Linked DNA regions of Oryctolagus cuniculus. The protein of the gene in region 2 purifies or fractionates together with the protein of the main gene of each other region. This does not show direct contact. Links are inferred from orthologs where the notes say so. Each region holds a gene or a part of one and is shown on either strand. Other genes may lie near its edges.

Region 1 (3,741 bases), on a different chromosome or scaffold from region 2:
TGGACCCGCGCATAGCTACTCCAGCCCCAGCCCTGCCCTCCACAAGCCGTCCGGGACCGGCCAGAGGCCTCAAAGGCCAGTTGGAGGAGCAGAGAGGAAAGCAGACGAGACTGGACCCCGGCTGGTCACCGAGGGAGGGGGCTGCCAAGGCGGGAGGTGGCTCAGGAAAGTGTCCCCCCCCACCTCCCCCGTGGCCTGCAGCTGCTGCCGCCCACACCCCCCAGGGCCAGTCCCTGGCCCCCAGCATGGCAGAGGTGTGCAGTGACCACCACCGGGGCTGCCCAGCCCTCCTGTGCGGGCAAACCCCGCAGCCAGAGCCAGCTGCACCCGACGACAGCCCCAGGTGGCAGTGGCCGTCCCCACTGTGAGTGACACAGGCTGCAAGCAGACACAGGTGGGCGCCGGCGCAGGTGTAGGCGGGAAGCCTGGGCAGCCGCCCACTCCCCTCAGACCCTGGCTCTTCTAAGCGAACGAGGGAAGCCGGTGGCAAGGGGGGGTTACCGACCCACGCCCGCCACGCTCACGGGAGGACACCGAGGCACACCGACGTCCCCCAGGCTGGGGCCTGCCCACGCCGCAAACGGGGAGGCACACCGCGCACGCCACAGCCCGGCGCCCCCGCAGCTCTCGAGGCGGGATCTGAACCCGCGCAACCGCTCGCTGCCCTGGGCGGCTTCCGGCTCCCCGGGGCCGAGCCCCAACTCCCTCTAAGACCCAGGGGAGCGCCCGCTGGCACGGCGCCCGCCGCGGCAGTGGTGGCCAATGGGCGGGCGCGCCGGAGGTAGATTTACATACGGGCGCGCCGCCGCCAATGGGAAGCAGGCGGCACGCTCGAGGGGCGGCCGCGGCCGCGCTGGCCAATGGGCGGGCGCGCCGAGGAGGCATTTGCATGCGGGCGCTCCGCGGCCAATGGGCGGCGGGCGGCGGCGCGGGCGGCTCACTCGCAGGATGGCCGCGGCCGCGGCGGGTGGAGCCCCGGGCCCGGCCCCCGGCCCCGCCGCGGCGCCGCCGGCCCCGGCCGCCCGGAACCCGCCGCCGGCGCTGCGGAGGCGCGGGGACTCGCGGCGCCGCCAGGCCGCGCTCTTCTTCCTCAACAACATCTCCCTGGACGGGCGGCCGCCCAGCCTGGGCCCGGGCGGCGAGAAGCCCCCGCCGCCGCCGCCGCCGCTGCCGCCGCCCGCCGAGGCCCGCGAGCCGCCCGCGCCGCCGCCCGCGCCGCCCGCCGGCCTCCCCGGGCTGCCTGCCAGGACCCCCGCGCCCCAGGGCCTCCTCAGCCCCACGCAGGCCCCCGCCGGCCTGGGGCTGGACGGGCCGCGCCAGAGGTGAGTGGGGGCCGGAGGGCGGGGCAGCCCCGGACCCGGGGGTCGAGGGCCCAGGGGGTGCGGGTGGCCTGGCGCCCTGTCACCCCAAGGCGAGGGAGTGAGGTGGCCCGGGAGCCCGTCAGCCTAGAACACCGAGGTGGGCCGACCCGGCCGTGAGGGCGGACACAGGGGTTGGGGTGACCCGGGGACCTGTTAGCCCCGGGCTCGGGGTTTGGGGCCGCCTGAGGCCTTCTGAGCCCTGGACGGAGTTGGGGTGCCCTGGGGCTGCCGGCTGCAGACATAGGGCCGGGGGCGCCCTTAGCTCTGAGCCCCACCTGGAGACGCCCGGACACAGGTGCGGCAGCTCTCAGCACTGCCCCTCCCCCACGCGCTTGGCCCCTGCCCTGGAGTCTGGCCCCCCCTCCGTGTGCCCCTCTGCATTTGCACCTCGTGGGCCGGGGTCTTCCCCATGCCGTTCCTCTGCCCTCCGCACTGCGCGGGACCCCCAGTGCCCACCGCGGCCAGCGTCCTGGGGCTGGCCCTGCAGCACATGGCCCTGGCCAGAGGGGCCTGGCGGACAGGCGCCCGTGCCCTTCCAGGTCGCTCTGGGCCTGCTGACCCCGCAGCCCGGGGTCACGGCGCAGACCGAGCCAGGGAGAGGCCTCTCGGTGGCCCCTCCCTGGGTTGCAGGGGCGCTGTCCTCACCTGGAGGTCATTGGCCGCACTGGCCGTCCTGGCGTGGCAGCCAGGGGCTGGGGGCGGCCGCGTCCAGAGCACAGCGCTCGCGGGGGTCCTGCCCCGCCTGGCCTTGGCTCCCAGGCCCCGCCCGCCGCTGCCTGGCCAGACGGGGGCCAGACCCCCGCCGCGGGACCGCGCACAGCCTTCGGGATGTGGCTGCCGCGCCCGTGTGCTTGCCCCGCACGGCACGGCACTCCTGGGGGACGAGCCCGCTCCCGGGGGACGGGGCCGTCGTGACTGACGGGGCCGTGACTGACGGGGCCGTGACGGGGGCCGTGACGGGGGCTGTGCTGGGGGCCGTGCTGGGGGCCGTGCTGGGTGCAGGCCCGGGTTCAAATCCTGCTTCACCACTCACAGCCCTGTGGCCTTGAGCAGCTGACTGGCCGGGGCCTCTGCTCTGTGAGCCCCACTGTGTGACCCCACTGTGTGAGCCGGGTTTGCCTTGGGCACTTCCTCCCGGCCGGGCGTTGGTCTCTGGCCGTGAGGCTCTGTCTCGCATGTGGCGTGTTCTGCGGAACCAGGAACAGTCTCCACCCAGGCGTCCTGACTTCCATGGACCCTCTGACACTACTTGCCTCCATTTTTTTTTTTTTTTAATTTATTTGAAAGTCAGGGTTAGAGAGAGAGAGAGAGAGAGAGAGAGAGGTCTTCCATCCGCTGGGTCACTCCCCAGATGAGTGCAACAGCCAGAGCTGTGCCAAACCGGAGCCAGGAGCTTCCTCCAGGACTCCCACGTGGGTGCAGGGCCCAAGGACCCGGGCCATCCTCCACTGCTTTCCCAGGCCACAGCAGAGAGCTGGATCGGAAGTGGAGCAGCCGGGACTCGCACCGGCGCCCATATGGGATGCCGGCACTGCAGGCAGAGGCTTAGCCGACTGTGCCACAGCCCGAGAGCAGGCCGGGTCTGGGGTGGGCCGGGCCTCACGGCCGGTGCTCTGCCCTGCTCCCGGGCTGCTGTCTCTCCCTGGGGGCCCGTGTGTGACTCAGGAGCCTGCAGACCGCTGACCACGGGTCCTCGCCCGGTCCTGGAGACCAGCGTCAGGTCCCCGCGTCGAAGGCGGCGCTCCCAGTGCAGCGTGGGGACGTCCTCCAGGCCGTGTCCCTTCCGTGGGACGTCTGCCCCGTGTCTGTTTTCCTCAGGCACTGGTCAGTGCCTTAGCGGCCCCCCGCACCACATCCTGCTCTGCACCCCCGCTGAGGCCCCGCCTCCAGACGTGGGCCGTGCACACATACTGGGGTCAGGGCCTCCGCCTGTCTTTTTGGAGGACGCGGTTCAGCCACAGCACTAACAGGGACAAGGTGACATCTGCACGGTGAGTGACCGCACACTCAGCCACGTGTGGCCACGCACAGCGCAGGGGCGCAGCCGGGAGGCGAGAGGGCTGGGCTGCACAGTCTCCGAGGAGGACACGGCTGCGGCCGTAGGAGCGCCCAGGAGTCACTGGGCATCCCCGAGTGCCCGTCCATCCCACTGGGCGTCCCCGAGTGCCCGTCCGTCCCACTGGGCGTCCCCGAGCGCCCATCCACCCCACTGGGCGTCCCCGAGCGCCCGTCCATCCCACTGGGCGTCCCCGAGCGCCCGTCCATCCCACTGGGTGTCCCCGAGCACCCGTCCACCCCACTGGGCGTCCCCGAGTGCCCGTCCATCCCACTGGGTGTCCCCGAGCACCCGTCCACCCCACTGGGCGTCCCCGAGTGCCCG
Region 2 (3,741 bases):
CCTAGGACCGGTCACTTTCAGGGACACAAACGCCTCGCGGCGGCCCCCTCCTCGTCCTTGCTACCTCCCACCCTGAATCGAGTCCTGTTCTTTTAAAGAACTTGTGTGCCATCTTGTTTTCTCAATTAAAAATGCGTTTAGGTAAGGATTATATACTTTTTTGTTTTTTTAGTCTGCCACGTGGGTGAAGCACAGCATTGTGTATGCGAAAGCATTCTGATATAAAGGAATTAATCCACAAATTGTCAGCACCAGTTCTGGTTCCTGGCTGCGGAGTGCTATTTGGGGCTGTTTTCGTCCAGTTCACAGCCCGGAAGAATGCAATCATGAGACAATTAGAGAGCAGCACAGGAAAATCTATAATCAACTGCCGTAAGGGATGAGGTAAAGGCTGCTGTAAGTGTAGCATCTGTCTGTGGTCTTGTCTGTAGAGGGGGTAACCAACCTGTCAGCCCTCGTGGGCCACACCCTTACTGCCTCCAGTGGGCTCTGCTCGGAAGACTGGGATCTGGGGGGACTCCCAGGGCTCCAGCCGGCTCGCCTCATCATGGGCTCCGAGACGACAGATGAGGTCCAGCAGAGGGAGAAGTCACCCTTCCAATCCAGCCAGAAATGGCAAACACCTGCCTCTACCCAGCCCTGGGGTCAGCTGGTCCCTGTGAGGTCATCGTTCCTATTCCCCAATCAACCTTGAGGTCACTGGGAGGCCTGGGGCGAGGTGGAAACCCGCGCTGAGGTCGCTCGGAACTCATCATCACCAACCAGGTCAGAGCTGAGCCACTAGGTCCCGGATCTGGGCCGCCAGACCTCAACCCGAGGGCGCCCTACCCCCACCCCGCCGCATTCTGGAACGCGTAGTCCCAGAGCGACCCTTTTCAAGAAGGCACACAGAAAAGGAGTAACAAGAGCGGGGCACACTGGGAACCGTGGCGTCACGGTGGGGACGCCCAAGGAGCGGACGCGTGATGCTTTCTGGGACTTGGAGTCCAGGGTTTGCCTCCGCGGTCGAACCGGAGTCCCGGGAGTCGAGTGCTGCAGAGGACCTTAGCGCAGCCTGCTGGGGGCTGTAGTCCTCTTGCCCGAGTCTCCGGACACCGCTGGGAAACCTGGCCGTCCTAGGACTACAAGCCCCAGAAGGCCATGCGCAGACAGGAGGCGGGGCGGGGCCGGAGGCTGGGGTGCCGCCTCCTCTGCAACGCCGGGGCCGGAGTCTTAGAACCCAGGGCCCGCAGGGGTCCCCGCGGCTGCCGTGATGCAGAAATACGAGAAGCTGGAGAAGATTGGGGAAGGTAATAGAACCACGAGATGTTCCTGCAAGATCTTCTTCTGCAGACCCTTCGGGATTCCTTGCAGCCTAGGCTCTCCCGTAGTCTGCGGTACCTGCAGGCTCCGACCTCAGCACTGGCTTGCAGCCCTGGCCCCCAAGCTCAGCACTCCGTGCAGACACCAGCCCTGCCCGTGTTAGCATTCTCCGCGGACTCCCACTCCCAACGTTAGCCTCCCTGTGGAGCCGACCTCCCAGCCGCGGCACGTCCTGCGTTTCCCACGCCTAGCTTCAGCACCACTTGCACATCCTCACCCGGACCCCAGCAGATCTTCAGCCTTGACATTTCTGCAGGCCCTCAGTTCTCTCCCAGAGTCCTGCTATGGCCAGACCTCCCGGAGTGCCGCCCTTATTAGCGCTGTCCTTACCCTGGCCTCCGGCTCAGACCCTGGAGCCTCAACCTTTAGGCCTTCCCTACCCTGCAGCGTCCTCACTTACAAAGCTCTTGCAAGCCTGCCCCTCACCCTGAAGCCTTTCCCTTACACACTCAAGTGCCCTTCCCCCTCCCCATTTCCTGGGGATGGGGAGGGTGCCGCATCCTCCCCCTCATCTATGACCTCCTCCCCTTAGGCACTTACGGAACAGTGTTCAAGGCCAAAAACCGAGAGACTCACGAAATCGTGGCTCTGAAACGCGTGAGGCTGGATGACGATGACGAGGTAGGACCGGGGACACCAGGGCAGGGAGTGGCAGATGAGGAGGCCTGGGGTGAGTGGGATCTGACTGCTGCTCCCTCGCTGTGCAGGGTGTGCCGAGTTCAGCCCTCCGGGAGATCTGCCTGCTTAAGGAGCTGAAGCACAAGAACATTGTCAGGTGTGGAGGGGGCAGGGGGCCCTGCAGGTGGAGGAGGAGGGGGCTTCAGCCTGGTTGGGGTGGTGCAGACGTGCAGACCTGCCTGGCTCAGCCCTTGCTTCTCCGTAGGCTTCACGATGTCCTGCATAGTGACAAGAAGCTGACTTTGGTTTTTGAGTTCTGTGACCAGGTGAAAGGGGATGGGGGTGGGCTGAAAGGGAGCAGGCTTGGGAGGGTGTGGGGCCCAGACGGAGGTTCACCTCTGTCCTGTTCCCCCGCTGCATCCCTTGACAGGACCTCAAGAAGTATTTTGACAGCTGCAATGGTGACCTCGATCCTGAGATTGTGAAGGTGAGGGGAAGGGTGTTCTGGGGGCTCTTCGGGGCTGGGGTTCCGGTCTGTATGCAGTGTCAGCTCTCCTGTTTAGGCACAAATCAGGGACTTTCTGGGGGGGGGGTGTCAGAGAAAGAGCAAACCTGCTCCTGCCCTCCAGGGGCCTCCGGGCTTAGCCAGCATTTCCACATGGCCTCCTTGGACCTGTATAGTGACACTCTGAGGCCAACGGCTATTTCCACCCAAAGAGCTACACTCATTTAATCAACAAACATTTGCTGAGAGTACTAGGCCCGAGACCAAGTGCCTTGGCCCAGGTTCCAGGGGAGTCAGGTCCTGAACCATCCCAGAGCACAATATCCATGTTGATGGTGACAGACTGTACACTCAGGTCCAGCCAGGTAGGGGAGAGAGGCATGGGCTGGGAAGGCAGAAGGCCTATCGGGCTATAAGGTCTGGAAGGGCAGGGAGCAGAGCCACTTGTTTCCTGCTGTACGGGCTGCAAAGCCAACCCTCGGCAGTGAGTGCATATAGTGTTGTCCTGAGCTTGGTGCTGGGGATTGGGTAGGACATGGAACAAAGCTGAGGGTGAGGCAGGGAGCATGCCCATGGCTGGCATCACCTCGTAGCCAGGGTGTCTGACTCTGTCCCCTCTGCCCCTCTCTAGTCATTCCTCTTCCAGCTGCTGAAAGGCCTGGGATTCTGTCACAGCCGCAACGTGCTGCACAGAGACCTAAAGCCCCAGAACCTGCTCATAAACAGGGTACTGCTCAGGGGAGAAGGGGAGGGCAGGGGGCAGGAGCCTGCCCTGAGACGTTTAACAGCCCCGTGCCGTGCCTCCCTCCCGTCTCCCCCCAGAATGGGGAACTGAAATTGGCCGATTTCGGCTTGGCTCGAGCCTTTGGGATTCCTGTCCGCTGTTACTCAGCTGAGGTGAGCTGGGGGGTGGGATTTGGAGTTGAGGGGAGCAGTCCCTGGTGTTTTTCAGCTCCTGCTCCATGACCAACCCGAGACAGTGCCCTCTCTTCTCTGAGCTCCCCTCTCCACCCTCCGTCCCAGCCCTCTAAACGGGAGGGCGTCCCTGTGGGTGGGGTCTTCTCCAGGTGGTCACGCTGTGGTACCGCCCACCGGATGTCCTCTTTGGGGCCAAGCTGTACTCCACGTCCATCGACATGTGGTCAGCCGGCTGCATCTTCGCAGGTGACGTGCTGGGGCGGCTCTGCTCTTTCTCCCCAATCTGGGTTGACAAACAGGGTCTGGAGGGTGCCCTCTCGGGGAAGGGAGTAGGGCCC
Region 3 (3,741 bases), about 20 Mb from region 2:
AATAAATCTTTAAAAAACCCAAAACCTGGGCCTGTAGACTGCAAAATCATGCTCCTTACTACTGCACCATATACTCCACGAGAAGAGCTGGTTAATTCCTGTCCAAGCCCTGACAAAGCAGTTTCTCAGATAAAGTGAGCCACTCTACCTACAGTTACGGAGACAGCCTTGGGCAGCTCCTGGACCACTGGCGGGACTGTCCCACTTCAACTGAGATACCCACATACAAAGTCTTGTTCCAGGTATCAAGAGGAGATACCAAGGAAGAATACATTCATGCAATATGCAATTATTGAGCTTCTGTTATTTAACAGATCCAGTGCTAGGCACTTGGAACACAGCAAAGTTCCCATTTATACTTCCCAACTAACCACGGAACATACGCCTGGCACCCATAAGCCTAGAATCACCTCCCCAAACGCTAAGTGGCCAGGGAGGGGAGCAAGGGCCTGGGACACGCACCTTTTCCGTCTGGCGGGTGACTAGTGGACTGCTCCATCTGAACACCAACAGGTGTGGGGCCTGTGGGAGAATCACAGCATCGCATCGTCAAACACCCTCGCGACTCTGCCTGCTGACTTTCCCAAGCTCTCTCCAGCAGAGCCAGCTGCTCCAGTTTGCCGAGGAAGACGTGTGAACGGCGTATTTTATTTCATGCCCCAATAAAAGTGACTGGAATGGTTTATGCTCTTAGTCCCTTCGCTAATTGGGAAAAATTATTTCAATTTTTCCTGGAAAATAGTAATTTAATCCAACTCGAACCTCGAGTTTCCTACGATCGGGGAATGGTTCTCCGTGTTCTTTACAGATTTAATTTCCATTGTATTCAGTCCTTTCCTTGTCCAGCACAGTCATTTAAAAACTCGGGTTCCCCCCATTGTCTCTGGAGGACCAGGGTCCAATGAGGACAGGGCAGGCATCGGGATGGGGAAAGAAAAATCTCAAAGCACTACTTGAGAAAATGTTTTAAATAGGATGAAACACAAGCCACCACGCTCTGGTCCCGATGGCAGCCTCAATCAAAGGCATTTGCCCAAGAAAGGCAAGGTCCAAAGCACAGCCACGCGTCTTAAGAGGAGATAAACTACAATTCCCAGCGTGCCTAGAAAAAGGACCGTGGGCCCCGCCCGGCGCCAACAGGACTACAACTCCCACATCACCCTTCATCAAACCGGCCCGCTCTGCCCTCCGCCTCCCTGCTGTTCCTCCCTGTTGATAAGGCTGGAGGAAGAAAGTGGGAACCCTCAAGCCTTTCTTGACCTTCACTGTCTGACAGACGCCACGGGGTAGCACACATTTTTAATGACTTCACCTGCGGTGTTAGTCGAAAGCCTCAACCCCAGCACCCACCCCTGTAGTTGATACGCATGCTCCGTAGTATGCGGGCCAACGGCCCGAGCCTCAGCGCCTGCGCCGTTGTTCGCGCCGCACGCGGTCGGGAGCGGCCACCCTGTTGCGCAAGCGCCTATGCCTGCCTATTGCCATCATCGCGCTCTCTCTATCTAGCTTGCCCTGCCGTTCCTGCGTAGGGGGCGGGGCCAAGGCTGTCGATTGGCCTGTTTTCATGCCGGTCAATGAGATAGATGCGGTGATTGGAGGCGACCCGCAAGGTAGCGGGTTTAGGTGTAAGCCCCGGGGAGGCAGCGTTTTCTGGGCTTCTCTCAGCTTCTCGCTCTCCAGAAGGTTCTGCCGGTTCTTTCAGCTCTGGGTGCCCGGCTCTCCATCGCGCCGCCATGATGGGCCATCGTCCCGTGCTCGTGCTCAGTGAGTTTTGGGGCAGCTGGGGAAGAGACCCCTTTTTCGCCCGCCTCCCTCCGCACTTTTTTCGGGGCTCCCCCCGCCGGGTTCCGCCCTGACCCAGCCACCGAGCTTTCCGGTCATCGTCTTCATTTTGGAAGCCCCTTCGTCCGCTCCCCTCTCTCCCTGGCGCTCGCCTCTCTTCCCTAACGGAAACTGACCTTCCCGACGCCGAGGCCCTGGTCTTCACGTGTGCGGGTCTCGGGAAGCCCCCTCTCCGTGCTCGCCTCCCGCGCCCGACCCCGCTCCACGCCTCTGCACCCTTTCCATCATGGTTTCACCGAGTGGTTCAATGAGTGGTGCTTTTTTTTGCGGGGTGGGGGGGTCCGGCCTGGCCTTGTATCCTTGGCTCATCCCTTAAGTAGCAGCGTGACCTCGAGCAGCTTACTCCACGCAAGCGTTTCCGCCTGGGTCGCGGGGTTAGTAGTATCTCCTGGCAGACGGCTTAGGTGAGGGTCTGGCAGATAGCGGGTGGCATCCTTGGTCACTTCACGTTTCTTTTAAGCACAGCCCGTGTTCGGCTGTAACCCTGCCTCCCTCGCGGGGCGAAGAGGGTGCGATGGTTCCCGCTGACCGAGTTCTCTAGTCTCCACTGGTTCCCGCCCCCCTTTTGGGAGTGTCCCGTTTATGTCTGCCTGAGGGTCTCCACCTCGGTTTTCTGCCCTACTCGGCAGGTTTCCGCGCTGTGTGTCACTGATGCCCCCCCCCACCCACACCCCCCCATCTGCAGGACCGCCTAGGATCCTCTCCCTTACCTTTTGTTGACAGAGTTTTCCTTCTTTTTCTCTATACCTGAGAAATAACTTAAGGAGAAAAAAAATCCTATTTTTTTCTTATGGGCTGTGGGTCCCTATAAGGTCTTGGTTACGCAGAGTGAGCATGGAAATGTTAAATGGATGTTCACATTTGATGGGACTAGATGGAAAGATTACAGACTTAAGTTGTAGGGGAAGGTATAGTTTGGGGGTGGGGGGTAAGCATGATGTCGGGTGGTGACAGCCACTGGGCCTGGGTGAGTGGTGTGCATTTGTAAAGCTCTTGACAGGTCTGGGTTAATCCCTGGCGTTAGTGGTTGTAACCAGTTAGGCTCCCTATTAAAATATGTAGTTAGCTCTTACTGATGATAAGGGGACAACTATAATTTGTCCTGCAGGCTGAGACACCTTTAAAGAAAGTGTTCTTATCACCACAGATTGGCTCTCACTGCCCAGCACGTTGTAATGTGCTGTCAGAGTGCAGTTCCCCCGCTCCACGCTGGAAGAAAGGACCCCAGAGCTCTTTGCCTCTTTACGAGAAGCAGTGCTTGGTACTTCCTTGGGGTTGCCAGCCCTTTGGGGACCTCATCATAGCTGTGGATTCTGTTGCCAGGAAAAGCCCTGCTGCCTCTCCTTTCCTCTCACAGAACCTCAGGGAGTTCACCACCCCAGAGACCTATCCGTGGGTCTTAGGTTATGAATCCCTGCTGGAAATAGGTGGATGCTTGGGAGGAACGTGTTGACCAAGCTTCCAGAGTTGGAGGGAGCATGATGGGTTATTCCTTAGTGCGCCCGGGATTGAAATAAACAAGTAAATAGCCGCTAAATAGCCGCAAGTGTGTATACTTGTCAGTTTGCTGAGGTCTAATTGACAGAAACTGCACATATTTAAGATGTGCCATTCGATGAGCTTTGTTCTGTGTCTACATGGTGAACTCCGTGTGCTTATTTTCATTTTCTAGCTCGTGTACACTGGGGCACTCCTGGGCTCTTAACATTGTTTTTACCTGTTTTAGGCCAGAACACAAAACGTGAATCTGGAAGAAAAGTTCAGTCTGGAAACATCAATGCTGCCAAGGTAGCATGTCTTCTACGTGTCTGTGGTTGTCTGCCTCCAGCTGTCTTCCCTCCTATTTCTGTATTTGCTTGTAGCAGTAAGTTTCTGGTGAATCTATACTTTTTTTTTTTT

Evidence for each region.
Region 1: the proteins of CDK5 (region 2) and CABLES2 purify together in Homo sapiens (affinity purification with mass spectrometry; 6 studies listed by BioGRID and IntAct, with this or other methods). This does not show direct contact. The link is inferred for Oryctolagus cuniculus from reciprocal best matches to the Homo sapiens genes CDK5 and CABLES2.
Region 3: the proteins of CDK5 (region 2) and CCT3 purify together in Homo sapiens (affinity purification with mass spectrometry; 3 studies listed by BioGRID and IntAct, with this or other methods). This does not show direct contact. The link is inferred for Oryctolagus cuniculus from reciprocal best matches to the Homo sapiens genes CDK5 and CCT3.

Annotation. Positions count from the first base shown.
Region 1 is NC_091442.1:1,014,199-1,017,939, forward strand, and holds the start of CABLES2 (CDK5 and ABL1 enzyme substrate 2), read left to right. Parts: upstream 1-932; 5' UTR 933-948; coding exon 949-1,322; intron 1,323-3,741. UniProt on the Homo sapiens protein: Unknown. Probably involved in G1-S cell cycle transition.
Region 2 is NC_091438.1:22,759,317-22,763,057, forward strand, and holds the start of CDK5 (cyclin-dependent kinase 5), read left to right. Parts: upstream 1-1,135; 5' UTR 1,136-1,252; coding exon 1,253-1,289; intron 1,290-1,894; coding exon 1,895-1,983; intron 1,984-2,069; coding exon 2,070-2,137; intron 2,138-2,245; coding exon 2,246-2,306; intron 2,307-2,410; coding exon 2,411-2,467; intron 2,468-3,116; coding exon 3,117-3,212; intron 3,213-3,307; coding exon 3,308-3,382; intron 3,383-3,552; coding exon 3,553-3,649; intron 3,650-3,741. UniProt on the Homo sapiens protein: Proline-directed serine/threonine-protein kinase essential for neuronal cell cycle arrest and differentiation and may be involved in apoptotic cell death in neuronal diseases by triggering abortive cell cycle re-entry. Interacts with D1 and D3-type G1 cyclins.
Region 3 is NC_091438.1:42,394,642-42,398,382, forward strand, and holds the start of CCT3 (T-complex protein 1 subunit gamma), read left to right. Parts: upstream 1-1,418; 5' UTR 1,419-1,733; coding exon 1,734-1,764; intron 1,765-3,568; coding exon 3,569-3,630; intron 3,631-3,741. Other genes in the region: TSACC (TSSK6-activating co-chaperone protein), read right to left, coding at 463-522, 1,351-1,369. UniProt on the Homo sapiens protein: Component of the chaperonin-containing T-complex (TRiC), a molecular chaperone complex that assists the folding of actin, tubulin and other proteins upon ATP hydrolysis.